4 linked regions of the Anolis sagrei genome follow. The protein of the gene in region 3 purifies or fractionates together with the protein of the main gene of each other region. This does not show direct contact. Links are inferred from orthologs where the notes say so. Each region holds a gene or a part of one and is shown on either strand. Other genes may lie near its edges.

The links.
Region 1: the proteins of MMS19 (region 3) and POLD1 purify together in Homo sapiens (affinity purification with western blotting; 3 studies listed by BioGRID and IntAct, with this or other methods). This does not show direct contact. The link is inferred for Anolis sagrei from reciprocal best matches to the Homo sapiens genes MMS19 and POLD1.
Region 2: the proteins of MMS19 (region 3) and DNA2 purify together in Homo sapiens (affinity purification with mass spectrometry; 3 studies listed by BioGRID and IntAct, counting the BioPlex papers as one, with this or other methods). This does not show direct contact. The link is inferred for Anolis sagrei from reciprocal best matches to the Homo sapiens genes MMS19 and DNA2.
Region 4: the proteins of MMS19 (region 3) and CDKAL1 purify together in Homo sapiens (affinity purification with mass spectrometry; 4 studies listed by BioGRID and IntAct, counting the BioPlex papers as one, with this or other methods). This does not show direct contact. The link is inferred for Anolis sagrei from reciprocal best matches to the Homo sapiens genes MMS19 and CDKAL1.

Annotation. Positions count from the first base shown.
Region 1 is NC_090026.1:28,159,336-28,167,005, forward strand, and holds the start of POLD1 (DNA polymerase delta catalytic subunit), read right to left. Parts: upstream 3,014-7,670; 5' UTR 2,980-3,013; coding exon 2,885-2,979; intron 552-2,884; coding exon 337-551; intron 1-336. UniProt on the Homo sapiens protein: As the catalytic component of the trimeric (Pol-delta3 complex) and tetrameric DNA polymerase delta complexes (Pol-delta4 complex), plays a crucial role in high fidelity genome replication, including in lagging strand synthesis, and repair.
Region 2 is NC_090023.1:170,563,870-170,571,075, forward strand, and holds the start of DNA2 (DNA replication ATP-dependent helicase/nuclease DNA2), read right to left. Parts: upstream 3,010-7,206; 5' UTR 2,965-3,009; coding exon 2,828-2,964; intron 1-2,827. UniProt on the Homo sapiens protein: Key enzyme involved in DNA replication and DNA repair in nucleus and mitochondrion.
Region 3 is NC_090023.1:217,825,303-217,832,902, forward strand, and holds the start of MMS19 (MMS19 nucleotide excision repair protein homolog), read right to left. Parts: upstream 3,004-7,600; 5' UTR 2,966-3,003; coding exon 2,872-2,965; intron 1-2,871. UniProt on the Homo sapiens protein: Key component of the cytosolic iron-sulfur protein assembly (CIA) complex, a multiprotein complex that mediates the incorporation of iron-sulfur cluster into apoproteins specifically involved in DNA metabolism and genomic integrity.
Region 4 is NC_090024.1:78,905,108-78,913,004, forward strand, and holds the start of CDKAL1 (threonylcarbamoyladenosine tRNA methylthiotransferase), read right to left. Parts: upstream 3,014-7,897; 5' UTR 2,922-3,013; intron 717-2,921; 5' UTR 714-716; coding exon 547-713; intron 211-546; coding exon 98-210; intron 1-97. UniProt on the Homo sapiens protein: Catalyzes the methylthiolation of N6-threonylcarbamoyladenosine (t(6)A), leading to the formation of 2-methylthio-N6-threonylcarbamoyladenosine (ms(2)t(6)A) at position 37 in tRNAs that read codons beginning with adenine.

The sequences.
Region 1 (7,670 bases), on a different chromosome or scaffold from region 3:
TCCTCCAGGTGTTTTTGACTTCAGCTCCCAGAAATCCCAGCCAGCATACCAGCTATTAGGAATTGTGGGAGTTGAAGTCCAAAACATCTGAAGCACAGTTTGAGAAACTCGGACTTAATGAATTTCTAAAGGAATGCAAATGAATGTTAATCCTGTAACACAGAATATACAAAATTTTCAAAACAAAAGAAAATATATATTCATGTTAAAAACCAAGAGCTGTTACAACATGATTGATGCAAAACAGGCTTCCTAGCTTCTTCACTGCATCCTAAAAACCCTTCAGCCTCACCGGCTCAGGGAGTGTCCTCCCTATTTTGTCCCCATCTAACTCACCAAGGGGGATGTCATCAGGTACCAGCTGTGTTTCCTTTGCCTCCAAAGCCATCTCAGACTCCACCTCATCCAGAAAGGCCAGTTCCTCCTCAAACTGGGACGGAGCATCTTCCTCCCAGTCCGCTCCTCGTGACTTTTTCCGTTGGGACAACGTGGGTTCCCCCATACCGGAGCCTCCTTTAGAAGCCTTCCTTTTGTTTTCCATATTAGCATTCCTAAGAAAACAAATAATTTTCAGCAGCCAGCCCACTCCCTAATCAAAGCCAAAGTCTCCCCCCCCCCCCCCCACACACACACCTCTTGGACATGTGTTCACAGCAAAATCAGAGTATGATATTTCAGTGCCAGTTACCTGTACTGCCTATTTCTTTCACAAGCAACTGCTCACACTTTGCTGTCCAGGGCTTAGTGGTGGTTCTACCACTTGCCTCCTTTCCCTCTCAAATGTGGTACTGCCTTTTCCTCATCAAAGACACATAATCACATTTGTACAGGCCTTGCTTATATTGATGAAAAGCTTCAGTCTTATTTAATTCACACAGTAAGAGATAAATGGAAGTGCTATTGATGCCAAGGCAAAAAGCTGTCAATAAATTTAGACTATATGAAGTTTTTGACAATGTATTAAGGAAGAACCCTCTGACCATAAGGGCTGTTTGACACTGGAATGGATTACTCTGGCAGATGATGGACCTCTCCGGCTAGATCTACACTGCTATATAATATAGTTTCAGAATGTCGATTAACTGCATTGAACTGGATTATAAGAGTCTACGCTGTCATATAATCCAGTTTAACACAGCTAATCTGCATTATGGAAGTAGCTAAAGACAACTCGGGTTTGATGCAAGGTTTAAATGTTTTATGTTGTGTCTGTGATTGTTGTTTACAGTTGTATAGCTTTAATGGTTTTGATTTATTGTTTTATGTTGTTGATTTGATATATGATGCTTTTATACTTGTGAGGCATTGAATTTTGCCATTTGTAATGTGAACTGCTGAGTCCCCCCTCTGGGGTGAGAAAAGTGGTATATAAATTGAATATATAAATAAATAAAGTGGCAGTGTAGATCCAGCCTCAGTTTTTAAACAAAGCTTGTATAAGCCTCTGCCGGGAATACTTAAGTTGTGGATTTCCTACATCCCCAGGATTTCCTACATCCCCTTCAATTTCACCATTCTATAATTGTACAAGATATACATAAAATAGTCTCTAAAACAGGTCCCTCAATCTAAACACTATACAGCCTAGAATCACATTGACTTTTTGAGCTGCTGCATTACATGGCTGGCTCGTGTTTAGCTTGTGGTCTTTTTTTTTTAAAATGTATCAGAAGAGACTTGTGAAACTGCAAGTCGCTTCTGGTGTGAGAGACTTGGCCGTCTATAGAGATGTTGCCCAGGGGATGCCCGGATGTGTTACTACCCTATGGGAGGCTTCTCTCGTGTCCCCACATGGGAAGCTGGAGCTGACAGACAGGGGCTCATCCCAGTGACCGGATTCAAACCACCAACCTTCAGGTCAGCAGTTCAGATGACACAAGGGTTTAACCCATTGCACCACTGTGGCTCCTTGTGGTCTATTGAGACTCCCAGATCCCTTTCACACGAACTGTTTTCAAGTCAGGTGTCATCCATTTAATACCTGTGCAATTCATTTTTTTGTTTGAATGAGTATGGAACATTTCTCCCTTTTGCAATTTATTTTATTTTATTTATTTACTTACAACATTTATATGCCACCCTTCTCACTCCGAAAGGGACTCAGAGCGGCTTACAGAATATATATATATATACACAATATATTATATTATTAGCATGGTAGAATATCAGTACTATATATTACTATATTGTACTATACCATTATATTGTAATATTATTAGTAATGTTACATGTAATATAAAATATATAATTATAATATCACATTATTAGTAGTATTACATTGTATTACATTATAATATTATATGTATATACAATATATTACATTACATTACATTATATTTTGTTGGTTTTGGCCCAGCTCTCTAATCTGTTAAGGTCATTTGGGTGTCAGATCCTATCCTCTGGGGTAATTATTTCATTCTCCTTTTTCACACAAACCCACTATAATGAGTTATTTTGCAGGTCTAACGTAATTAATGTTGCCCCACAATGCCAACCCTTGTACCCAACATAGGTTCAATAATTTATGTCATTATAACCTTAGAAATGTTAATCTTTTTTTGTACTTCAACTCCCACCTTCCACTGAAAAGGGGGCTCGTGGATTCTGAGTGTTGTAGTCGTTTCCCCCGCGCCCCCCAAAGTAAGAGTACCTTATCCCCAACTGTTCTAGTTTTCCAGTTTCCTTTTCCCAGGTAGGCCTCAACTCCATTTACAGTTCAGGCACCTCATTCCCACTCATTTCAATGGTGCCCTAAACATGTTTGAACTTTCACCCCTTCAAATAACTACTATAGGTTCTTTCCTTTCAGAGACACCTTCCTCCCACTGGCACCCAACTCCCATTATCCGCTATTTCCCCCTTTTCCTCCCCAAACACTTCTCACCTCTCTCCTGACTCCCTCAGCACTCTCCCGCCAACAAGCTCAGGGGAGGAGCGTGCCTGCCCAGTGCCTTGTTGCCATGCCAACCCGCTCCTCATTGGCCAGCGCACTGGAGAGTGACAAGGAAGCAACGACTCTTCCGCGAGCCGTCGACTGCGCTGCGCATGCGTATGCCTTCGGAGGCGCCACCGCCGGCATATTTAGTGTGGGTAGAAAAATAAGCCGTCATCTAACGCGCAGGCGCAAAAGGTCTTCCTGAAGCTCAAAGATGTGGCGGAAGGAGGGCAAAGGCCATATCCAGAGCCCTGGTTAATGGAAAAGGCAGAGAGTTTAAAAAAAAACATCTATTTCTGTTTTATTGACTATTCTAAAGCCTTTGATTGAGTGGATCATAATACATATGGCAGGTTCTTGGTGGGATGGGCATACCAAGCCACCTTGAGGAATCTGTACAAGGACCAAGTAGCAATAGTCAGAACTGACCACGGAACAACAGACTGGTTCAAGATTGGGAAAGGCGTACGGCAAGGCTGCGTCCTCTCACCCAACCTTTTTAACTTGTATGCAGAACACATCATGCGATGTGCGGGGCTTGATGAATGCAAAATTGCTGGAAGAAACATTAACAACCTTAGATATGCAGATGACACCACTTTGATGGCCGAAAGCGAGGAGGAACTGAGGAGCTTTCTAATCAAGGTGGAAGAAGAAAGCGCAAAAGCTGGATTGCAGTTAAACAACAACAAAAACCAAAATTATGGCAACAAGAATGATTGACAACTGGGAAATAGAGGGAGAAAACGTGAAAGCCATGGCAGACTTTGTATTTCTAGGTGCAAAGATTACTGCAGACGCAGACTGCAGCCAGGAAATCAGGAGACACTTACTTCTTAAGAGGAGAGCAATAGTCAATCTCGATAAAATAGTGAAGAGTAGAGACATCACACTGGCAATGAAGATCCGCATAGTTAAAGCAATGATATTCCCCATAGTCACCTACGGATGTGAGAGCTGGACCATAGGGAAGGCTGAGTGAAGGAAGATAGATGCTTTTGAACTGTGGTGTTGGAGGAAAGTTCTGAGAGTGCCTTGGACAGCGAGAAGATCCAACCAGTCCATGCTTCAGGAAATAAAGCCCAACTGCTCATTGGAGGAAAGGATAGTAGAGGCCAAGATGAAGTACTTTGGCCACATCATGAGGAGACAGGAAACCTTAGAGAAGACAATGATGCTGGGGAAAATGGAAGGAAAAAGGCAGAGGGGCCAACCAAGAGCAAGATGGATGGATGGCATCCTTGAAGTGACTGAAGGAGCTGGGGGTGGTGACGGCCAACAGGGAGCTCTGGTGTGGGCTGGTCCATGAGGTCACGAAGAGTTGGAAATGACTGAACGAATGAACAACAACAACCCAGGATATCAAGGCAGGAAATCCCACAATATCTGCTTTGAACTGGGTTATCTGAGTCCACACTCAGATAATATGAGGTTTTCTGCCTTGATATTCTGCGATATAGGGCTGTGTGGAAAGACCCTTGGGGGAGAAATTCTGATTTTCAATTAATGAAAATTTGGTTAAGTGTGAATTTAAGCCAAAACCCGCAATCTTTGTCTCCACTTTTCTTTCAGATGAATTCATAGTTCCTCATTTAATCTCTTAATCTCACCCATCAATTTCCCTTATTTATATTAAAAAAAAAAAAAAGGAAACAGGCTGTACAGGCAGTCCGCACGCTACAACAAGATAGGTTCTGTAGATTTGTTCTTAAGTTGAATTTGTATGTCAGTTTGAACAGGTACATTTTTACGTGTAACTTCAGCCATACACACACACACCGTATATACTTGAGTATAAGCCAACTTGAATATAAGCCGAGGCACCTAATCTTCCCACAAAAAAGCTAGGGAAACATATTGACCCAAGTATAAGCCTAGGGTGGGAAATGCAGCAGCTACTGGTACATTTCAAAATAAAAATAGATACCAATAAAATTACATTAATTGAGGCATCAGTAGGTTAAATGTTTTTGAATATTTACATAAAACTGTCATTTAAGATAAGATTGTCCAACTTTGATTAAACCATTATTCTAACCTTCAATAATAATAAAGAGAGTCAAATAACAAATGTAATAAAAATAATAATAGAGTAAAACAATTTTTTTTAAAAAAAATTGTTGTGTCAAGAGCAACCTGAGAAACTGCAAGTCACTCCTGTTGTGAGAGAATTGGCCGTCTATGAGGACGTTGCCCAGGGGACGCCCGGATGATTTGATGTTTTCATCATCCTTGTGGGAGGCTTCTCTCATGTCCCCGCATGAGGAGCTGGAGCTGATAGAGGGAGCTCATTCCTAGAGTAAGAGTTAACACCCCTGTAACCATTGGAAAACTTGCTTGTTGTGGAAACAAGGATTGGTGATAAAGCTTCCGTGGAGGCACTCTTTCCTCATGATAACTCTTCCAGGGGTAAATTTACCCTCCGAGGAGAAGGTTTCTCTCACTTCCTCTTGTCTCATCTCATCTCTGTTCTTAACTATGAGTCATTTGTAAGTCGGATGTTTGCAACACAGGGACTACCTACACACCTCTATGTCTGCATTGGATTATACTGAAGAAGTGTCATGCAATTCTGCCAGCAATGTAAAAATAATGAGTTATTTTGCAGGTCTAACATAATTAAAGTTTCCCCACAATGCCAACCCTTGTACCCAATATAGGTTCAATAATTTGTTTCATTTGCATTGGCAAGTATTATTTTTTATTATTCAGAAAAGCAATGGGTGGGGAAACTACCAGTATTTGCATGAAGTCATAATAATAACCTTTGTTTATAATACCCTTGCTGTCAAAGGGTGAAACATTCAAGATATACAATCAAAAACAAACACAGTAAAACATCATGCTATAAAAATACATAAAATCCCCAGGATCCCACCAGCCACAATAAGCTCCTTCCTTGTATGTTTTCCAGACAATTCCAATTTATGGTGAGATTATCACGCCACATTATCACAGGATATCTATGCCCTACACTACTGGAGAAATTATACTGTTTAGTCAGTAGTGCATCACCTGTCATCTGTCGGGAAGTAGCAGCCTGTAATGAAAGAACCAAGGCATTGACATCTCCGGCTCACCCTCTGTTCAGATATCAGCCAGTAAACCAACGCCTTAAATCAAGAAATAGCTTTCTAATATTCGTACGATATTCGCAGGAACACCTCAGCAAGCAAGAGTCCAAAAGTGGCAGAATAAAACCCAGAACCTCAATCAGTGGCTGAGACCAGATTAGAAACTCCCCTCTGGGCACACAGAAGAGTGGACAACCTGGAAGGCACTGAACAGGCTGCGCTCTGGCACCAGAGAAATGGGGCTACAAATTGGAGTCCATGACATGCAAGTGTGGAGAAGAGCAAACCATGATCCACTTACTACAATGCAGTCTGAGCCCTGCCACATGCACAATGGAGGACCTTCTCACAGCGACACCAGAGGCACTCCAAGTGACCAGCTTCTGATCAAAGGAAATTTAGCGCAATGCCAAGTTTTAACCTGGTTTTTTTTCCCTATACATTATAACTCTTTTCCCAATTTGCTTCTGACATGATAAATAAATAATGGCTTTCGTGGGCATTAATACTGTTCTATGGAGCACCGGATCCTGTCTGATTGTGGAAGCAAAGCAGTGTCAGCCCTAGTTAGTGCTTGCATGGGCAACCAACAAGAAATACCGGGTGCTGTAGGCTATATTTCAGAGGATGGAATTGGCAAAACCCACTCAGGGTATTCCTTGCCTTAAAAAAATGAAATTGATAGGATCACCAAGAGTCAGCTGTCAATACTTGAAGATACTTGTGACATCCTTTCAAATATTTAAGCATGACGATCATGTCTCCTCTTCTTTGTGCAGCTAAGACCCAGAACTTTAAGCGGCTCCTCAAAGAATACGATCTCCAGACCACTGATTTATTTTAGTCGCTCTCCAAGGTGCTGTACTGATTTAGGAATAGGGTTAAAGACCTTGGAGAGCTCATCATTGTATGAATTTTTAAAACTTGCATGAATTTACTACCTTATTGATACAGGAGTCAAATTGTGTTGCTTCACCAAACTGCATTAGCACTGAGCCATGGCAGTTAAAGTGGTGTCAACCTTCATCAATTCTACTGTGTAGATAACCATAAATTGTCCTTGCACCATTTTAGCTGCATGGCAAAATTTATCCATTATGTTTTGATAATCTGCATGTATTTCCGTAAACTCTGACAAAGTGTATATAGTGGTTTGGTTCCCATGTAAACCCCCCTATTGTGAAAAATGCTTCCCTTTTCTTTCCCACTTCTAGCAAAAGTACTTCCTTTTATACAGTTTTTTTTAAAAAAAAAACAAACAATGTTGTTTGAGTTTGTTTGCTTGGTTCCTTGGTTTTCATATTTTTTTAGAGTGTACTTGCACAAAAAGTACAGGACTTACAGAGAGAGGTGGTTCTTAACTGGAAATTGAAGGTTTGGGGTTCATATTATAGTGAATATTATATAATATAATAATATATAATATTATAGAGTGAAGCAGATTGACTGTTGCTAGGTGACAAATGTATGAGAGGAAGGAAGGAAGGAAGGAAAGAGAGAGAAAACTAAAAGAAGAGAGGACCGTGGAGGATAAATGAAAAAGGAGGGAAGAAAGACAAGAAAAAAAGAGAAAGGGAAGAAGGAAAGGTATAAGGGCATGGAAGGAAGGAAGGAAGGAAGGAAGGAAGGAAGGAAGGAAGGAAGAGAAAGTGTGGGAAGAA
Region 2 (7,206 bases), about 47 Mb from region 3:
AAGGACATTGCCCAGGGGACGCCTGGATGATTTGATGTGGGAGGCTTCTCTCATGTCCCCGCATGAAGAGCTGGAGCTAATAGAGGGAGCTCATCCGCCTCTCCCCGGATTCGAACCTGCGACCTGTCGGTCTTCAGTCCTGCCGGCACAGGGGTTGAACCCACTGCGCCACCGGGGGCTCCTATTGAAATACTAATAAGTTTATATTTGTTAAAATTGTTCTTCATTTTTAATTACTGTATTGTTTTTAAGTGTTTTGCACTACAAATAAGATATGTGAAGTATAGGAATTCATTCATGTTTTTTTTCCTAATTATAATCCGGCCCTCCAACAGTTTGAGGGACTGTGACCTGGCCCTCTGTTCAAAAAGTTTGAGGACCCCTGATCTAGAACATAAACAACAAGCAACATCATCAAAATTGCATAGAAGATGCAGGTTTTTGTGAAGACCCTGACAGGAAAGACCATCACCCTGGAGGTGGAGCCCAGTGACACCATTGGGAATGTGAAGGCCAAGATCCAGGAGGAAGAAGGCATCCCGCCTGACCAGCAGAGGCTCATCTTTGCCGGGAAGCAGCTGGAAGATGGCCGCACTCTTTCTGACTACAATATCCAGAATACCCTAACCCACACCACTGGAGAAATTACACTGCTTAGCCGATATTGCACCACCAGACATCCGCCGGGAAGTAGCAGCCAATAGTGAAAGGACCAAGGCAGAGACATCTCCAGCTCATCCCCTGTTTGGGTATCAGCCAGCACGTCAACGACTTAAATCAAGACATAGTTTTCTTAGATCTACAGAGACACTCGCTGGAACACCTCAGCAAGCGAGAGTCCAAAAGTGGCAGGCTCAAACCCAGAACCTCAATTCATGGCTGATACTAGATGAGAGACTCTCCCCTGGGCACTCAGAAGACTGGGCGACTTGGAAGGCGCTGAACAGACTGCGCTCTGGCACCACGAGATGCAGAGCCAATCTTAAGAAATGGGGCTACAGGGTGGAATCCTCGGCATGCGAGTGCGGAGAAGAGCAAACCACTCACCACCTGCTGCAATGCACCCTGAGCCCTGCCACATGCACAATGGAGGACCTTCTTGCGGCAACCCCAGAGGCACTCCAAGTGGCCAGATACTGGTCAAAGGACATTTAACCAAATACCAAATTTGCAAAATCTGTGGGTTTTTTTTCCTTTTTCTTTTTAATCTGTGTGTTTGTTTTGCTCTGTTAGAATTGTGATACAATGGTTGCTGATGACACAATAAATAAATAAATATGTCTCCTCTAAGGCTTCTCTTCTTCAGGCTAAACATGCCCAGCTCTTCAAGCCGCTCCTCATAGGGCTTGTTCTCCAGACCCTTGATAATTTAAGTCCCCCTCCTCTGGACACATTCCAATTGTGCAAAGACCCTCCCAGCTATTAATATGACCATGGCTATATCTGCCAGAGTGAAAACTAGAGGCAGCTCATATATCTTGAATGGATGGGTGGTAGGGGCCACCATCTGCTGAGTCTCTACCCACACAGCCCTGTATCCCCGGATCTGGTCCCAGATGATCTGCTTTGAACTGGGTTATATGAGTCTACACTGCCAGATAATCTGGGATCAGATCCTGGGATATAAGGCAGTGTGGGCCCAGAGTCATAGAATCAAAGAGTTGGAAGAGACCTCATGGGCCATCCAGTCCAACCCCCTGCCAAGAAGCAGGAATGATGCATTCAAATCACCCCTGACAGATGGCCATCCAGCCTCTGTTTTAAAGCTTCCAAAGAAGGAGCCTCCACCACACTCCGGGGCAGAGAGTTCCACTGCTGAACGGCTCTCACAGTCAGGAAGTTCTTCCTCATGTTGAGATGGAATCTCCTTTCTTGTAGTTTAAAGCCATTGTTTTGCGTCCTAGTCTCCAGGGAAGCAGAAAACAAACTTGCTCCCTCCTCCCTATGACTTCCTCTCACAGATTTATATAGGGCTATCATGTCTCCTCTCAGCCTTCTTTTCTTCAGGCTAAACATGCCCAGTTCCCTAAGCCGCTCCTCATAGGGCTTGTTCTCCAGACCCTTGATCATTTTAGTCCCCCTCCTCTGGACACATTCCAATTGTGCAAAGACCCTCCCAGCTATTAATATGACCATGGTTATGTCTGCCAGAGTGACAACTAGAGGCAGCTCATATATCTTGAATGGATGGGTGGTAGGGGCCACCATCTGCTGAGGCCCTGTATCCTCGGATCTGATCCCAGATGATCTACTTTGAACTGGATTATATGAGTCTACACTGCCAGATAATCTGGGATCAGATCCTGGGATATAGGGCAGTGTGGGCCCAGAGTCATAGAATCATAGAATCCAAGAGTTGGAAGACACCTCATGGGCCATCCAGTCCAACCCCATTCTGCCAAGAAGCAGGAATGTTGCATTCAAATCACCCCTGACAGATGGCCATCCAGCCTCTGTTTAAAAGCTTCCAAAGAAGGAGCCTCCACCACACTCCGGGGCAGAGAGTTCCACTGTTGAACAGCTCTCAGAGTCAGGAAGTTCTTAGAATCAAAGAGTTGGAAGAGACCTCATGGGCCATCCAGTCCAACCCCATTCTGCCAAGAAGCAGGAATATTGCATTCAAATCACCCCTGACAGATGGCCACCCAGCCTCTGTTTAAAAGCTTCCAAAGAAGGAGCCTCCACCACACTCCGGGGCAGAGAGTTCCACTGCTGAACGGCTCTCCCAGTCAGGAAGTTCTTCCTCAAGAGACCCAACGCTAAAAAAAATCCATGCTGATGCCCTTGCTCTTTGAAACCGCGCGCTTTCCTCATTCCAGGCAGCCACCTGAGCAAAGGAAGAGCCTTCTCTTCCTCTTCCTCCTCGAAGAAGCTCCTTTCCATCAGTTCCTCCAGCGCCGCTTCCTCCAGCTCTGCCCTCCTCCTCCTTTCCTCTTCTCCTTCTTCCTCGACTCGAGCCGCCATCTCCAAAGCAACACAGAGTAGAATGAGGACCCTGGGCCAATCATGCCGGGCCCCTTGCAATACGCATGCGCAAAAGTCGCGCTGGCCAATCAGGCGCCGGGGGCGGGGCTCCTGCTGCGCGCGGGTAAAATCAGACCTCTCTCTTTCCCAATCGCTTCCCGCTTCCCCTTTTGGACGAGACTTGCCAGCGCGCGCCTCTCCTTTTAAAGTGAGTTTGTCGGAGGGCAATAATATTAATAATAATCATCTATATAAATAAAAATGTAATGTTAGTTCTTTCTACCATCAGAACTCAAAAACCACTGGGGGAAATGACACCAAATTTGGACACAAGACACCTAACAGTCCAATTTATGTCCTCCACTAAAAAAAATGTTTTTGTCATTTGGGAATTGTCGTTGCTGGGATTTATAGTTTACCTACAATCAAAGAGCATTCTGAACTCCACCAACGTTGGAATTGAACCAAACTTGGCACACAGTTCTCCCATGACAGTGTTTCTCAACCTTGGGGTCGGGACCCCTGTGGGGGTCGCAAGGGGGTGTCAGAGGGGTCGCCAAAGACCATCAGAAAACATAGTATTTTCTGTTGGTCATGGGGGTTCTGTGTAGAAAGTTTGGTCCAATTCTATCGTTGGTAGGCTTCAGAATGCTATTTCATTGTGGGTGAACTATAAATCCCAACAACCACAACTCCCAAATGGCAAGGTCTATTTTCTCCAAATTCTACTAGTGTTCACATTGGAGAACAAGCCCTATGAGGAGCGGCTTAAGGAGCTGGGCATGTTTAGCCTGAAGAAGAGAAGGCTGAGAGGAGATATGATAGCCATGTATAAATATGTGAGAGGAAGCCACAGGGAGGAGGGAGCAAGCTTGTTTTCTGCTTCCTTGAAGACTAGGACGTGGAACAATGGCTTCAAACTACAAGAGAGGAGATGCCATCTGAACACGAGGAAGAACTTCCTGACTGTGAGAGCCGTTCAGCAGTGGAACTCTCTGCCCCGGAGTGTGGTGGAGGCTCCTTCTTTGGAAGCTTTTAAACAGGGGCTGGATGGCCATCTGTCAGGGATGACTTGAATGCAATATTCCTGCTTCTTGGCAGGGGGTTGGACTGGATGGCCCATGAGGTCTCTTCCAACTCTTTGATTCTATGATTCTATATTGAGTATTTGTGCCAAGTTTGATCAGATCCATCATTGCTTGAGTCCACAGTGTTCTCTAGATGTAGGTGAACTACAATTCCAAAAACTCAATGTCAATGTCCACCAGACCTTCCCAGTATTTTCTCTTGGTCATGGGAATTCTGTGTGTTATGTTTGATTCCATTCCATCATTGATGGAGTTCAGAAGGTGCTTTGATTTTAGGTGAACTATAAATCCCAGCAACTCCAGCATTACCAAATGACAAAATCAATCACCCCCAACCCCACCAGCATTCCAATTTAGGGTGTCTTGGGTACTTGTGCCAAATTTGGTCCAGTGACTGAAAAACACATCCTGCATATCAGATATTTACATTACAATTCACAACAGTAGTAAAATTACAGTTATGAAGTAGCAACGAAAATAACGTTGCGGTTGGGGGTCACCACAACATGAAGACCTGTACTAAGGGGTCGCAGCATTAGGAAGGTTGAGAACCACTGTCCCATGACAAACAGAAAATACTGGAAGGGTTTGTTGGGCAGTGTCCTTAGGTTTTGGAGTTGTAGTTCACCTACATCCAGAGAGCACTGTGGACTCAAACAATGATGGATCTGGACCAAACTTGGCACGAATATTCCATATACCCAAATATGAATACAGATGGAGTTTGGAGGAAATAGACCTTGACATTTGGGATTTGTACTTACTGGGATTTATAGTTCACTTACAATCAAAGAGCATTCTGAACTCCACCAATGATGGAATTGAACCAAACATGGCATGCAGGACTTCCATGACCAACAGAACACACTGGAAGGGTTTGGTGGGCATTGACCTTGAGTTTGGGAGCTTCTGCAAAGGTGTTTAGAGTGGCTTGTAGATCTTCTGAATGCATACAGACAACATTGTCATCAGCATACTGGAGTTCTATAACAGATGTTGTAACCTTGGTTTTGGCTTTCAGTCTGCTGAGGTTGAATAGCTTGCCATCTGTCCGATAGATGACTTCCACTCCGGTGGGGAGCTTCCCATCAACAAGGTGAAGTATCATAGCGATGAAGATGGAGAATAAAGTTGGGGCAATAACACATCCCTGTTTGACCGGATTCCACCTTAAATGGGTCACTTTTGGAGCCATTGCTGTCCCATCCTGTTGCCATCATGTCAAAGACTTTACTTTATATAATTATATGATAGCACTTTAATGTGTTTATATTAGTGTATTATTGATATGGTGTTTTTAAATTACTGTGTATGAACCCCTTGTTGTAAGCCGGCCTGAGTCCCTCGTTGGAGGTGAGAAGACCGGTATATAAAAGTTCTAAATAAATAAATAAAAGTGCATTGCATTGAGCCATGGCAGTTGAAGTGATGTCAAACTGCATTAGTGCAGATGTACCCTTGTGCCAAAGGATTAGAAAGTTGCCCGAAATAGTTGAGTGCTGTCATTAGAGTGCTGTATCTAGAATTAAAGCAGAAATGTCATGGCTCAATGCTATGGAAACCTGGACTTTGTAGTTTTGGAAAGCAACTTAGCTTTTACACAGCCATATAATCCAGATTAACAAAGCAGATAACCCAGATTGTCTGCTTTGACCTGGATTATAGGAGTCTACACTGCCATATAATCCACTCCAAAGCAGATAAACTGAGGGCCCTTCCACACAGCCCTATATCCCAGAATATCGAGGCAGAAAATCCCACATTATCTGAGTGTGGACACAGATGGCCCAGTTTAAAGCAGATATTGTGGGATTTTCTGCCTTGATATTCTGGGACATAGGGCTGTGTGGAAGGGCCCTAAATTTTATGTGGCAGTGTAGAAGGAGTGTGAAGCAACCACTCTATTGGCCAAAGAGCACTGTAGAAGGTCACAGGAAAAGAAACACCGGTTTGGGCCAGTTTACAAAGCCAGAGGCAAGGAACACGGCTGGGAGAGATGTCAGATTTAAGGTTCTGCCATGAGCCCCTGGAAATATTGCAGACGCTGCAGGCTTTTGCTTTCAATAGGTCTAAGAAATGGCCTGAAATGTTTAGCCAAGAGGCTTATCTCGCTGGCTGCTGTAGGCTGGTATGTGCCACTTCCGAGATAACAAGAGTGTTGACATTCATAGGTAATATGAGGAAATGCACAAAGAAAATCTGAAGCCTCTGGACTCAAGGAAGGTGTCCAAAGAACCTGCTTCTTGTACTCTTGTGTTTCTGAAGATGCTAGAAAGTTATTGAGGACAAAGTTAAGGAATGGACTGTGGGCTTATATTGCTGCAAAACCCGCTAAAAGTTTAATATCATCTTGGATATTAAGATTACTTCCTTGCATATACACTAGACTCTCAATTAACTGGAACTCAAAAGCAACCGACAAAAGTTTATTGGTGGCCACGTAACTAAAATTGCATACTACATTCATGAGGCTATTTTAATAATATAGTAAAACTGAGTTACATTAAGTTTGTCTTTATGTGCCCTCATTTGCTTTTATTTACAGTATTTCAACATTAATATCAAATCAATACAGAGGTTTTGGTATGGTATAATATGGGGTGTAGTATTAGTTTAGTTAGGCCTATTTTTAATACTGGTAGTAGATTTCATGGAGCCCCCGGTGGCGCAGTGCCGACTCTTGATGCGCAGGTGTCAGCGGTGGCCAGGAGGGCCTTTGTGCAATTAAAACTTGTGCGCCAACTGCAACCTTACCTCGTGAAGTCTGACTTGACCATGGCGGTCCATGCCTTAGTTACCTCCAGACTGGACTACTGTAATGCACTCTACGTGGGGCTACCCTTGAAGACGACCCGGAAACTACAACTTGTGCAACGTTCGGCAGCCAGATTAGTAACTGGGGTGACTTACAGGGAGCGGTCAACCCCCGTTTAAGGAGCTCCACTGGCTGCTGTTTATTTTCCGGTCCCAATTCAAGGTGCAGGTTATCACCTATAAAGCTGCAATGCACCCTGAGCCCTGCCACATGCACGATGGAGGACCTTCTTGCGGCAACCCCAGAGGCACTCCAAGTGGCCAGATACTGGTCAAAGGACATTTAACCAAATACCAAATTTACAAAATCTGTGTGGTTTTTCTTTCTTTCTTTCTTTTT
Region 3 (7,600 bases):
AGCTACCAGGGTTTTTTGAAATTAAAAAAATAAACACAAGGCTGATTTGTTCTGCATTCAAGTGAGTAGAACCTACCTTCATTTGCCCTCCTCACCCCATGCTACTCCCCCAGAAAAAGCAAGTATTACAGTATCATCATGTCTGCTTTGTCAAATCTTCTGAATATCTGTTATATTCTTGCAGTTCTATGAAAAACAACTGCTGCTAATCATGCTGTTTCCAGGCCCTTAAGAATGGTCTGCCTGAAGCCACATCAACACTGACCATTTAATATCATACCAAACCAAACTCCCACAAAAGCACCCAAAATAAATCCCTTAATGAGCTCTTTTGTTTGTATGATCATCATTTGGGCTTTGTGCTGGTTCCAGAATGTCCTATAAAATCATCTGCACAGTGAAAACGCTTTCTTCAATACCAGTTTGAAACAGCTTTAAATTATCAGTGTAGTTGGGGTCTCAATTTGACAATGCTGTGATGGTAGGATACAAGGAAGTGAGCACAGTCCCAGCAGGTCTATTGCAAGAATGAATTATATAAGCACTTCAGCATCCAAGGTAGTTCTGCCTAATCTCGAAGACATCATAGAGAAAACATTTTGTTTATGTGTGTCCTGGACCAATCAAAATTTATGATGGTCAAACTGCTTCTTTCATGCTAATTAAGTGTTACAGAATCTACAAAGACAGTTAACAAAGGCTGCAGCAATGACTCCCAGTGAGCAAAGCACATGAAACTGCTGGCTTTTTATCTGGGTTTATTTTTTTCCTTTTTCTTCTTATACACAAGTCTGTAAGAGTTAGTTAGCAGAAATATTATTTTAATCTGCAAGGCTGGCATTCAGAAGTTAACCCTACAAGCATTGCCTAACCCTATTCCCAGCCCCAGAAAACAGCAAAATACACTTTCCTTTTACCCCAGAAAGAAAATGCCTGCCAAAAGCAAGACAATATTTTAATCAGTCATTAAATTAGACATTTTAGAGAGATAATCAAGAGACTTAGTTCGCTTCTGAACTCCCAGAAAGACACATGTTGAGCAACTGTCATTAGCTGCAATCCAAAGAACATTTACTAGAAATAAGTTCTACTGAGCACTATGGGACTTATTTATGAATACTTTTAGGACTGTACACTCTAAGGTTTATGTGTTGTACAAGGTACACTCCCATTGTAAAATGGGAGGCCCGCCATTTTTTATCTTCACTCCTCTTTTTATCTTCTAGTACAACTGTAAATATAATGTGGTCAAGTGTGAGAAAATTACCCCAGGCACTGCACTTTGACCTTATGTAGAGCTATCAGGTAAGATCCAAGTTGAACAAAATTTGGCTTGGATATAAACAGGGAATTTAATCACAGAAATTTTAATCACAGATCTATAGGACCATCAAGCAGGATGCTTTCTTACACAGTTGAATCTCCATCACAGGGATCCTTAACACTACAAGTTTTGTCTCTTTAAAAAAAAAAGTCGCGAATTGGCCGTCTGCAAGGATGTTGCCCAGGGGACACCCAGATGTTTTACCTCCTGTGGGAGGCTTCTCTCATGTCCCTGCACAAGGAGCTGGAGCTGACAGACAGGAACTTACCCTGCTCCCCTGATTCAAACTAATGACCTTTAAGTCAGCAGTCCTGTAGGCACAAGGGTTTAATCCATTGAGCCACTGGGGGCTCCTTCTTTAAATAATAAAAGGTTGCAGTACTCAGGCTTTCCATGTCAGAAACATTACTACATGCATCTGCTTCAGCCTTCTGGCTGTCCCTGGATGAGCAGTATGCACACCCAAAAAGCAGATGAGCAGCATCTGCTCTTGGATACTCAGGGTCAGCTCCTTCTCAAAAACAAAACAAAACAAAACACAGGGATGCAGAAGACTGATAACATGCCAGAGCTTCTTATTTACATCCAAGTGAAGTGCTAGCTGAGGTGGACAAAGAAGAAAGCTTCAATGTTTTTCTTTTCCCTTCCCATCTTTTCAAATTTTCCATTCATGTTTTGAATGATTCTATGCTGCATATTTAACAACAAAATAATTTTGGATTTCATTTGAAGAAAAAGTAGAATGCAATAAAGGAAGGAAACAATGCAACAATAAAGGAAGGAAACAATTTTGGTGCAAATTTATACATGTAGCAGTCGGCATGGTTAGCAACAAAAATGTAGCTGTAACAATGCTAAACACAACCTTACCCACAAGAACAAATAAAATGAAACTATTCTCAGGAGCACATCGGAAACTATGATTAACACACATCTACAAGCTGGCCTTCTTACTGCTTGGAGATAATAGCCAATTGCCCCCACTCTATTTTCCTTATTCTGAAGTATGTAGATGCACAGAAATAGAGAAACTGATGCCTTATTTGACTACACATGATCTTGACTCATTTTGATCAGGATTTCATATAAGTCACTCCACTGAAATGGCCTTGACATATGATATTCTAACAGCTCAGTGTCAAACATCTACACTGTAGAGTTAAAGCAGTTTGGCACCACTTTGAGCTACCATGGCTCAATGCTATGGAATCATGGGAGTTGTAGTTTGGTGGGGGGCACTCACAGCCTCCAGCAGTGAAGTTGCAAGACCTTGTAAAACTACAATTCCCATAAAGTCAATAAAATTGAGCCATAGCAGTTGAAGTGGTGCCAAACTGTATTCATTCTACATTGCAGAACAGGCCTGGGCCAACTTGGGCCCTCCAGGTGAAAGGGGCCTGAGGCTGTTAGGAATGGTGGGAGTTGTAGTCCAAAACACCTAGAGGGCCCAAATTGGCCCATGCCTGGAGTAGATGCTCTCCCCCTTTCAAGCATCTCCTTCCTCCCGCTCTAAGGCATCCCTCCGCTCTTTTCTACTCCAGCCCTACCTTCCGCCGCCTCGCGGGCCGCATTTTCCCGCTCCCAGCCCTGCAACGGGGAGGCAGCCGCCCCCAGGTCCCCGCCCGCCCCGCCGGCCGCCATGATCAGGCCGAGAGTCAGTAGGGCGAGGAGAGGCCGCGACGGCGCATGCGCGTCTCTCTCCCTGCCTGTCACGTGGGACAGCCTCCCAAGGCCAAGCTCCAAGCAGGGCGAGGGAAGCGGTGCTGCCTGGTCCCATTGACTAAAAGCGCACACTTTACAATAGACCTGGGCAAACTTTGACCCTTCAGGGGATTAGGACTTTAACTCCCTAGGAATTGTGGGAGTTGAAGTCCAAAACTCCTGGAGGGCCGAAGTTTGCCCAGGTCTAATAGACTTAACCAGGAGCCACGCAGTCATGCCGGCCACATGACCTTCGAGGTGTCTACGGACAACGCTGGCTCTTCGGCTTAGAAATGGAGATGAGCGCCACACCCCAGAGTCAGACATGACTAGACTTAATGTCAGGGGACTACCTTTACCTTTTTAATAGACTTAACACAGTATTTCTCAACCTGTGGGTCCCCAGGTGTTTCAGCCTACAACTCCCAGCAATCCTTCCCAGTTTACCAGCTGGGAAGGTTTTCAGAAAAAACATCTATTTCTGTTTTATTGACTACTAGCCATCCCCTGCCATGCATTGCTGTGGTCCAGTCTGTATATATGTGTTTATTGTGTCTATATTTGTGTATATGTGTGTTTGTATGTGGTTTTGCACATCTGTTGTAAAAAAAATGGTTTTTGGTTTTTAAGTCTCTTCTGCTGTGTTTTTCAGTGTTTTTATGAGTGATGGTCACTTGTTGGCCTGAGAGGTGTACTGTGTCCAAATTTGGTGTCACTTCGTCCTGTGGTTTTTGAGTTATGTTGATCCCACAAACTAACATTACATTTTTATTTATATAGATTCTAAAGCCTTTGACTGTGTGGATCATAATAAATTGTGACAAGTTCTTGGTGGTATGAGGATATCAAATCATCTTGTCTATCTCCTGAGGAATCTGTATAACAATCAAGTAGCAAAAGTAAGAATTGACCATGGAACAACAGACTGGTTCAAGATTGGGAAAGGCGTACGGCAGGGCTGCATACTCTCACCTAATCTATTCAGCTTGTATGCAGAACACATCATGCAATGTGCAGGGCTTGAGGAAAGCAAGGCTGGGGTGAAAATTGCTGGAAGAAACATTAACAACCTTAGATATGCAGATGATACCCCTTTGATGGCCGAAAGCAAGGAGGAGCTGAGGAGCATTCTAATCAAGGTAAAAAAAGAAAGTGCAAAAGCTGGGCTGAAGTTTTTTTAAAAAAAAAAAACCCAAAGATTATGGCAACAAGACTGATTAATAACTGGCAAATAGAGGAAGAAAACGTGGAGGCAAAGATTACTGCAGACACAGACTGCAACCAGGAAATCAGAAGTTTACTTTTGAGGAGGAGAGCAAAGGCCAATCTTGAAAAAATAGTTAAGAGTAGAGACATCACACTGGCAAAGAAGATCAAAATAGTTAAAGCAATGGTATCTCCCGCAGTAACCTACGTATGTGAGAGCTGGACCATAAGGAAGGCTGAGCGAAAGAAGATAGACGCTTTTGAACTGTGGTGTTGGAGGAAAATTCTGAGAGTGCCTTGGACCACAAGAAGATCCAATCAGTCCATACTTCAGGAAATAAAGCCTGATGCTCATTGGAGGGAAGGACAGTAGAAGCAAAGATTAAATACTTCGGCCACATAATGAGAAGACAGGAAAGCTTAGAGAAGACAATGATGCTGGGGAAAATGGAAGGAAAAAGGAAGAGGGGCCGACCAAGGGCAAGATGGATGGATGTTATCCATGAAGTGACTTGCTTGACTGAAGGAATTGGGGGTGGTGACAACCGACAGGGAGCTCTGACGTGGGCTGGTCCATGAGGTCACAAAGAGTCGGAAGCGACTGAACGAATAAACAACAAACATTATTATTATTATTATTATTATTATTATTATTATTATTATTATCTGCCTTGATATTCTGGGTTATATAGCTGCGTGGAAGGGCCCTAGAATAAACATAGTGAGGTTTTAAAAGTGATGCAGATCCAAGATTTATTTCAAGTGGGAATGTGACAAAGGAAAAGCAGAAGGCAAAGGTGATTGACCTTTGTTCCTGTTTGTTGTTTTATAATGTTCAACATTTTGTTCAAATATACTGCATTTTACTGGATGGCTTTATAGAAAAAATACACATACTGAAATAAAGAATTGGTTTGCTGATGGATCAAAGATTTTAACCAGTGAAGAGTAACATCCAAAAAAAGTACCATTGGCTAAACGAGATAAACAAAGAGACTGAGGGTCCTTCCACACAAACACATAATCCAGAATGTCTGCTTTGAGCTGGATTATCTGGCAATGTAAATTTAGATAATCCAATTCAAAGCAGATAATGTGGATTATCTGCTTTGATATTCTGGATTATATGGCAGTGTAGAGGGGCCCTTAGTATTATGTCTAAATCCCACAAAGTTATTGATATCTTTAAAAGGTTAGGTCACCGGGACTTGTATGTGTGAGGGAGACTGTTACAGAGGGTTTGATCTCATAATTTTGTCAACTGGCTGGAACAATATTTATTTTGAATATATGCTTTTGAGATAACATCCAACATTAAGATTAGAAACTCATTATAACCAACTGTAGTCTTCCCATTAGAGAACAGAAGAGTATGAGCTCTGTATCCATGGGTTTCGTGTATCCATGTCTGACAAATAGGTCCTCTAATTTTCTAAGCCCTCCAGTGTGACTCTAGCTCTTTCTACATTGCCATATAATCAAGATTATCAAAGCAGATAATCCACATTATCTGCTTTGAACTGGGTTATATGAGCCTACACTGGTATATAATCTGGTTCAAAACGGATAATCTAGATTTTATATGGCAGTGTAGAAGGAGCTCCAATCATATTCTTAGACAGATGTCCTTCATTTCAATAGAAATTAAGATTACTAACTGGGGCGACATACAGGGAACATACCTCCCCCCTGTTGTGCCAGCTCCACTGGCTGCCGGTCCATTTCTGAGCCCAATTCAAGTGCTGGTTTTGACCTATAAAGCTCTATATGGTTCTGGCCCAGCTTACCTGTCCGAACGCATCCACCCCTACATCCAACCTTGTAATCTAAGATCATCCGGGAAGGCACTGCTCTCGCTCCCGTCAACAGCACAAATGCGTCTGGCGGGGACGAGAGGCAGGGTCTTCTCGGCGGTGGCTCCCTGCCTATGGAACACACTCCCAACAGAGGTAAGATCGGCTCTCTCCCTCCTGGCTTTCCAAAAGAAATTAAAGGCATGGTTTTGGGACCAGGCTTTCAGACATTAGATATAGCAGCACTTTAGAGGGACATGACTGGAATGACAATATGGCTGACAAGACTGTTTTACTGTTTTAATGATTGCTTATGTATTGTTTAACTATTATTTGTGTCCAATTGTGATTTTATTATTGTAATTGTCATGTAGCGGCCTTGTAACGGGGCACATTGTAAGCCGTCCTGAGTCCCCCTTCAGGGGTTGAGAAGTGACGGGATACAAATACGGGAAATAAATAAATAAAATAAAATAGCCTCAGATTTGTTTATCCATGCAAAGTTGACACACACAGATGCAGGGCTTGTTATGCATTGTACAACCTGCCAAAACCCTAAATGGGCATATTTAATTTTGAGATATTTAGACATGTTCCTTGGATACATGAAATATAGGTATATACTGACAGACTGCTGGTGATTAGTCGTATAAAGGAAAGGGTTTTTCACTTCCAGCAGTTTAATAATAGCAAGTAAAAATTAAATAAATTCCCTTTCAGGGCTTTATGTCAGTCACTTATCTCCCAGCCTCACTGTTCATTTCCTGTAAAGTAATTATTTTACTAAATTTTTTTAAAGCTCTGTTGGTAGTTAATTTATTATTTATGACCACATCTTAGTGAAGCTCTGCTAGGCAATTTTAGCACTGTGTTAGAATTACTGATCTGGAATCACTCAGATATAGATTTATAAACACATCCTAGTCTATGCATCATGAACTATAACTGATGATTAGCTCTGCTTCCTTAGCCAGCATTAGTATCTCAAATCTGCACTCCAGCCACTATTTTGCACCTGCTTCTAGCTGGTAGATCTCAGAATGTTATTTAAATGCTTTTTCCTCCATAGGCTATAGCAATCAGATTATTTATTAATTAAGTGTAGGTGAACCTCCAATTGTTTTAGACTTCAACACATAGAAGTTGTAGCCTAATGTTCAGGAATTCTGGCAGCCGAAACCACACAATCTGGAGAACTAGAGGTTGAAAACCATTGAGTTAAAAATGTACCATTGACAACAGAAGGTGATGATCTCAGCAGTGGGAGAGACAACAAATGATGGGGAGTGCTGGGAGAAGCAATGGCATCACACAACAGAGACTGTGCAAATAGGGAAAGGAATGGTAACAAATACGGGCAGATAAAACGTCCTTGGCATATTATAACATTCTAAACTAAAAGCAAGGTCATGTTTTCAATTTTCTTGCACTGATTCAGAAAGCTGTGGGAAGGCCAGAGCTCTGTGTCAGAAAACAAACTTTTGAAGATGAAACTCCTCAATTAGTCTCTGGCATCCCAGGGCACAACTAACAAATACCTGGCCTGAAACTAATCAGAACTGAGGGCTCTTCCACA
Region 4 (7,897 bases), on a different chromosome or scaffold from region 3:
TAAATAAAATGAAGTAAAATAAAAACCGAACAGCAAATTGAAATTTCTAGACAAGGCTGAACACTATGAAAGAAATCAAATGCATTGAGCTGATTACCTGTAATTTTGTATCCATAAGCAGCCAGCTGTCCAGCCATATATTCTCCATCTGAGCTATTATGAGAACATCCCCATGTGCGTATCCAAATTTTCTGTACACCTGGAATAATGCTGTCAGATAAAGAGATACAAGAATGTCAATTTCATCCCATAAGAAACATTTGTCCATAGAAGGTTACAGTAACTATCAAGCTGTGAAAGTTCATAAATACCTTTGAGTAAGAAATTGTAGCAACATAATATTTGTTGAGCATTTGTATATACTATTAAAATAAAATATGATAAGCCCTGTAGCAGCATTTAAATATATTAGAAAAAAATATTAGAGAAAAGAGAGCAGACGTGAGAGGACTTAAATTCTTTAGATTTTAAATAGATTTCAAACCTGTTCTGAGTTTACCTGCATTTACTTTGGCTTGGCAACATCTTTTAAAAGATAACACATACCTGTCACTTGGGGGATCATCATCCACTTCTACATTTTTTTGTGAATGGCGTTTTCGCACATTAGGAAGAATGCTCTGTCTTGCAAATTGCCGGTCAAGTGGCTTTGGATCATGGGCTGACACAATATCTTCAATGTCTTCAAGGAGAGAATTGCAGACTGCAGACATCTTCTACAAAAAAAGGATGTACAATATTGGAACAAAAAATACAAAACCATTCAATTGTAAATGCTTCTACATTTTAATTGTTAACCAACTGGAGAATATAAAGGTATTACTAATCAACAGACAAAAACAATAATCCATAACCAAGCATGGAAAATTGCTCATTTTTTTAAAAAAAATAAAGAAGCATATGCTCTGTGAATTCACTCTAATAATTATGGCATTGTGAGACCACAACCTCTGAGTATGCCTGCCATAGATGAAGGTGAAATGTGAGGAGAGAATGCTTCTAGAACATGGCCATACAGCCCAAAAAACCTACAACAACCCAGTAATTCCAGCCGTGAAAGCCTTCGACAATACAATTAAAGACCAATTAAAATACTCAGTAAAAATTAAGAAACAATGGCTGGGTTTCCTGCAATGTAGTTACAGGTTGACAACGTAAGAGTTACAAAACTGTTACTGGACTAAATTCAGACACTTCACTTATTCACAATCAGGGATTATTACCACAATTGTAAATACCCACCAAGCCCAATCTTAAACTCATGGGAGCTGCTCCAAGTGAAAAAGATCTGTAGTGTGGGCACATGAGGTGTTTCAGAACGACACAGGGAACCCCATCCTCTTCCTGGTACAACAAGTAGAAGAAGCTTCTGTTCATTATCCGTTGGCTCAGGGGTGGAAGAGGGCTTGTTACATCCCAGTTCAAGCAAGGGGAGGGGGTAGATAGCTCCTTGTGTGATACTGTTTATTGTTTATTATGTGATTTATATTAATTTACTTATTGTTTTTGTTTATTGCTTTTGTTTATTGATGTACTGTTGGGCTTGGCCTCATGTAAGCCGCTCCGAGTCCCTTGGGGAGATGGTGGTGGGGTATAAATAAAGTTTTATTATTCTTTATTATCATTCTGAAGCATTCCACTCACCACCTTTAAGGATATGATTCATGGGAAACAGCCCTTGCATTTGTGGCCAAAGAGGCTGAATCTACAAGACAGTATTCAAGTTACGCACAAGATGGGTTCTGTAGGTTTGTTTTAAGTTGAATTTGTATGTCAGTTGGAGCAGGTACATTTTTAAATGTAACTCCTGAGATAGATAGATAGATAGATAGATAGAAAGATAGGTCAGCCCTGGCTATCACAAGAAAGGGTTAACACCCCTGTGGTATTCGTTTTCCTTTTTGTGTCCCTGTTCAGAAGATTTCAACTCACTTTCAATCTCTGGGATAATTGGATTTTGAAAAATGTGGCTTGTTGTGGAAACAAGGATGGGTGAAAAGGCTTCAATGGAGACCCCTTTTCCCCATGACAGTAACTTTTTCAGGAGCGAATTTCCCTTCAGAGTAGTAGTTATTTCACTTCCTGCTGTCTCTCGACCCCGCCCCCTTCTTAACGATGAGTTGTTTATAAGTTGGATGTTTATAACTTGAGCACTGCCTGTACTCTGCCATATAACCCTGTACCTGCTTTGAACTGGATTACACGAAGACTGTCATATAATCTAGTTGAAAGCAAATAATCTAGAAACAGAAACTGGATTATATGGCAGTGTGGATCTAACCGGAGTGACGATTTTTCACCCCAATGAGATTTGGAAAAGCTATGGCACAACCACCATATCGATACAAGTAAGTATTCTTTGCCTTAAAACCCCTATGGAACTCATGGGGTAGCCATAAACTGACAGGTGACTTACTACTTCATCACACTGGAGAGAAAAAATCCACTTTAAATCCGGTTTCTGCCTCCTGCAGAATTCTGGGGTTTGTAGTTTAGTGAAGCTGTTAAAGGCTCCTCCTTAAACTACAAACCCATGAATTCTACAGGAGGCAGAAACCGGATTTTGAGTGGATTTTTTCTCTAGTGTGATGAAGTAAGGCCCATATCGGCCCACACAGCAGCAAGCAAAGAAAGTATTTTTTTGCCACACGGCGAAGGCCCCACCCTCAGGAATGGGGGACAGGACGGCCCTCCACGCATAGCTGAACTACAACTCCCAGCACTCCTCACCGACGGCTTTCCCAGCTGGGAATGATGGGAGTTGCAGTCCATCTGGAGACCTGCGCCCTTCCCCAGCCACCCAAAGGGCGACCCACCGCCAAAGGCCACCCGTTTGGCTCCCCCCGCTCTCGCAGCCCCAAAGAGGAAAAAGAAACAACGCCTTTCGGAAGGAGAGCAGCTGCACGAATGACAACACTCACCTGCAAAACCCAAGCGCGGTCTTTACTTCCACATGGGCGACGCCATGATGAAGCCACGCCCCCTATTGCGTCGGAAACACGGACGGCACGGCAGAAGGGACAAAATTAGTCGCTTTCGGATTCGCGAAACGAGGAGAAGCGCTCCTTTTCAGAGGATGGAAAGGGGTCAAAAGAGGTGACACTCCTCTTCTTGGAAACTTTCTGGAGCTGAAGAAAGACTATCCACGGACATGGATTTTACTTTTTAGTACTTCCCTGTCCTATCTGTAGCGTTTAATAATAATACATCATTATTATTATTATTATTATTATTTTACTGACACAAGAACACAGTAAGTCACAGCAAACGAGATATATATATATACTGGATTTCATATCACAAAATCACGAGTTGAACACTTCCCAAGCATCTAGGACTGTGATGTACTTTCGAATGATGCGCTCAGATCCAAGTAAGGTGGCCTTTTGCAGTTGACAGATCGTGGTTTTGTCAATGTTTCAATTGTTTCAAAATGCCAGCTGAGGTCGGCACCCAGTGTGCCCATTACCACTGGGACCACCTGGACTGGTTTATGTCAGAGCCTTTGCAGTTCAATCTTGAGGTCTTGATAACAGCTGAGTTTTTCCTGTTGCTTTTCCTCAATGTGACTGTCACCCGGTATGGCAACATCAATAATCCAAACCTTTTTCTTTTCCACAATTGTGATGTCTGGCATATTGTGTTCCAAAACGTTGTCAGTCTGGATCCCAAAGTCCCACAGTATTTTTGCATGTTCATTTTCTACTACCTTTGCAGGTCTATGATCCCACCAGTTCTTTACTACTGGTAGGTGGTTATTATAAAAAAACAAACAAACAGAAAATACACTTATTAGCATGCCTGACAGGGGTGCACCAATAGTGTAGAATGAATGCAGTTGGACACCACTTTAGCTGCCATGGATCAGTACTATGGAATAATACAAATTGCAGTTTGGTGAGCCACCGGTACTCTTTGGCAGAGAAGGATAAAGACTTTAAAAAACTACAGTCCCCATTATTTCCATAGCATTGAGTCATGGCAATTAAAGTGGTGTCAAACTGCCCTACTTCTACAATGTAGACAGAATCATAGGGTTGGAAGAGACCTCGCGGGCCATCCAGTCCAACCCCCTGCCAAGAAACAGGGAAATCGCATTCAAAGCACAAAGATCAACAAAGTGGGGGGGGGGGGGGGGGAGAGGGAGATTGAGAGAGAGAGAGCTGAAAATAATTTGAAGGATTGGAAATGGGAGAAGAGAGTTCCCCAGGACAATTTTACAAGGAAGTGTGTGCAGCATTAACAGGATCAGTGCAGGTCCAATAGACAGGGATGATGCCAGATTTTTTTTCAACTGTGTAGACAGTCTTTTCTCTAATCAATCTAGAATTAATTTTTCTCTCATCTATTATTGCAGTAACAGCATAGCAATAATAGAGCAGAGCTACAGCTCCAGTTGTCATTTCTATTCTGAAGCTCCACTTTCATGTCAAGCTCCACACAACACTCCCAATTTTCACTAGGGCTCTTCCATACTTCTCTACCCGTTTTCAGGAGCTGGGATATAACAGATTACATATCTGATTTGATTCAATGTTTATGCTGCAAGAACTGAAGTAGGAAAGAGTCGTTTAGTTGTTTGAGCTTTGAACTATGACTGGAGGAAACCCATGGGCGAGTCAAACTCTCCCAGTCTCAGAGGAAGACAATGGTAAACTACCTGTGAATCAAGTCAAGAATAAAAATCAGTGATTTTTATTACTCTGCCAGGGCTGCTGGATTTAGATGGGGGAAAGGACTAAATCAATAGCAATAACCAGGGTTCATTCCTAGCTCAGTAATTTCAGCCTTTGCATCAACCATATGCTGCAGGACTAACTCCTGAATGAAACCCTGGAGAGTTACTGCCATTCCCTTGTGGGAGTAGCAGGTTAGATAGACCATAAGGCAGCTTATCCTCATATAGTTCCAATAGTTATTATAATATGCGTTATAGCCCATTACTTCTTAAACTTGGGTCCCAACCCCAAATGGTGTCCCCTGAGCTCAATGCTGGGGTCCCAAATCTGGCAAGAGTAAACTTTTCTGAATGTCACCTAGTGGTTGTTTTAGACCAGGGGTCCTCAAACTTTTTAAACAGAGGGCCAGGTCACAGTCCCTCAAACTGTTGGAGGGCCAGATTATAATTTGGGGGGGGGGGGGACACATGAATTCCTATGCACACTGCACATATCTTATTGTAGTGCAAAAAACCACTTTAAAACAATACAATACTTAAAATGAGGAACACTTTAAACTAATATAAACTTATTAGTATTTCAATGGGAAGTGTGGGCCTGCTTTTGGCTGATGACATAGGATTGCTGTTGTGTGCTTTCAAGTAGTTTCAGACTTAGGTTGACCCTGACTGAGGCCAGGTAAATGACCTTGGGGGCCATATCCACTCCCCGGGCCTTAGTTTGAGGACCCCTGTTTTAGACAATAGTTTCCAACCTTTTTTTGACCAGGGAGTACTCTGCAACACTAGTACCAAAAGGCCTGTGAATCAGTTTTTGGTCAACTCTAGATTTGATTTGGTTATTTGGGGTGCTGATTCAAAAACCTGCATTGGATAGACCACATCAGCTCTAGTTTCTTATACAGACAATATGCCATCCAGTAGTCGCCATCTGCTCACCCACAGATAACCATATTTAATAATCTACAGCTGGTGTCATCTATCCAAGGGGGCCGGGATGGCCAGTGACAGGGAAGTAGAGGCAAGCCCTAGGGCTGAGAACGGCGGTCAACAAATGCAGTAAATGCAAAAGGAGCGGAAATAAAATAAATAAATAAGGAGGAAGGAGGCTTGCGGACCAGATTTTAGTCCTCATGGCCCACTGGTGGTCTGTGGCCCACAGGTAAGGAACCACTGTTTTAGACATTTACATGAATCTGTCGTGTAGTGTTTGCAGTGGCATCTGTAGAAGATGTTTCAGCTGAACTTCATAAAATGGAAAATAAGTCTGTTAAGCAAGTCTTGCAAATGCTGATTTATTATCAGTAAATGTTTGGTTTTTATACCTATTTCATATACTTGGGATTACATAAACATTTCTAGGGCTGAAAAGGATTGTGAGTGGAGAAGTTTAAGAAGCCCTGGTACAGCGAAGTACATTTTACTATCTGTATAATCAAGTGGAATGAATGGTAAGCTTAAGTACAATATGCCGCTACATTTAAAACCATCCCATTTATCAAACTGCTAAGAAAACACAGGCAGCCTAGTCACTTTGCAACATTTTGCTTGCTGCCCCTGCAAATGCCATTTTTGGTGAAAAATGCATTTAAAATTCAATGATTTCCTGATATAAAGCTTTATTTAATACCATAAAAATGGTGAGTTACATACATTGGAAGAGGCAAGGTCACTGCTTGAGAACAGGTCCATCTATACAAATGCAAAGCTGTTCTTGGGCTTTATTTGTTTTTTGTTTTTTTACATTATTTTACAGATTTGTAGAACTAGCTTACTCAAGGTTAGTATTTTGCCCAGAAATTGACGTAAGTAATTTGTACAAAATGGTGTATAACATTTTTCCCTTTCATTTCATTCTTCCTACAGCGGTGCCCTTCATATTGTAAAAGCATTCATGTTCACACAAACCTTTTAATTTCCTCCACAAGACAAACTTTAAATACTGTATTTTTTATTATTTACAGACCCACGTTATTTTTTTTCTTCAAGAAATTACAAACCAGCTATAAAATTCTGGCAGGTTTTATAAATTCATTCCTATTGTACAAAATTGTTAGATGACTAAAATATCAGAACACACAACTTAAATATCCAATGAACTATGCACATGTTTGTACATATATAAAAAACACACTTAACACTGTTTAACAGTTCTTAATGTGTTGCTCTTTTTACACAATTATATTCCAAGACTCAATCATACAGCTTTCATACTTTTACTCAGCTATTTCATGTGTGTCTATAGCAGCATCTCAGAGGTACCAGAAAACCTGCAAACATATTTATATATAAAACACAAACATTTTAGTATTTTATTAAGTATCAGATAGAAAAAAAAGCTAATGCAAACTGTTTGGGTTATTCAACCTATTAACCTAAAATGGCAACATTTTACACAACTCCGGGTGCAAATTCTATTCATGTCAGAACATACACTATACCAGTAAAAGAGTTATAAATTATTATTCAATAAAGTGGGTATTAAAAGGTGTATTATTTACACTTTGGGTGAAGTGTCGGCTTTGTATCAGCTCCCAAAACTGGAAGCAGAGGCAATTAACCCACTAAAACAAACACAGAGTTTTGAAAAGTGAAGCATGCCATAAATATCCTTTTGCAGAAAAAGCCCACAGTGCAATTCTTGTAGGCACTTTAAAACCGCCCAACTTTGTACCGCAAACTTTCTCTACCAGTCTTATTGCACACTGCAGATAGTTAAACTGAATGGTGCATCTTTGTTTACATTTTAAAAAAAAAATGACACCCTCACATCTACTTCTTTGAAACTTCCAGTTTTTTAAAATAGACAAAATGGTCACCCTGATCTATCTAGTGGTTAATATGCATTTGGAAGTCCCACACAAGTATTTCAACAGGATGGACAGCAGGATGCATGTCACAAGCTCCATCCAAAATAGGGGGCTGTGGATGAATAGCTCTTTGGGGAAAGATAAGTGAAATCCTACCAAACGACTGTTCTGTTGGAGGGGAAGGGGTCTACATAAAATCTATACCCTGCCTAATTTCCCTTCCCTGCCAAATAGAAGTAACACAGGATTTCAGTTCTCCAAATAGTTACAAAAACACATACTTGGCTGCTCCAAATACCCAATGGTATACTGGAACCATCATCTCTATGTTTCATCTAGGACTGTAAGACATTTAAAGTGTATTTTACAAGAAAAAATGATTTGAGGAAATTAATTCCCTCAAAGGTAA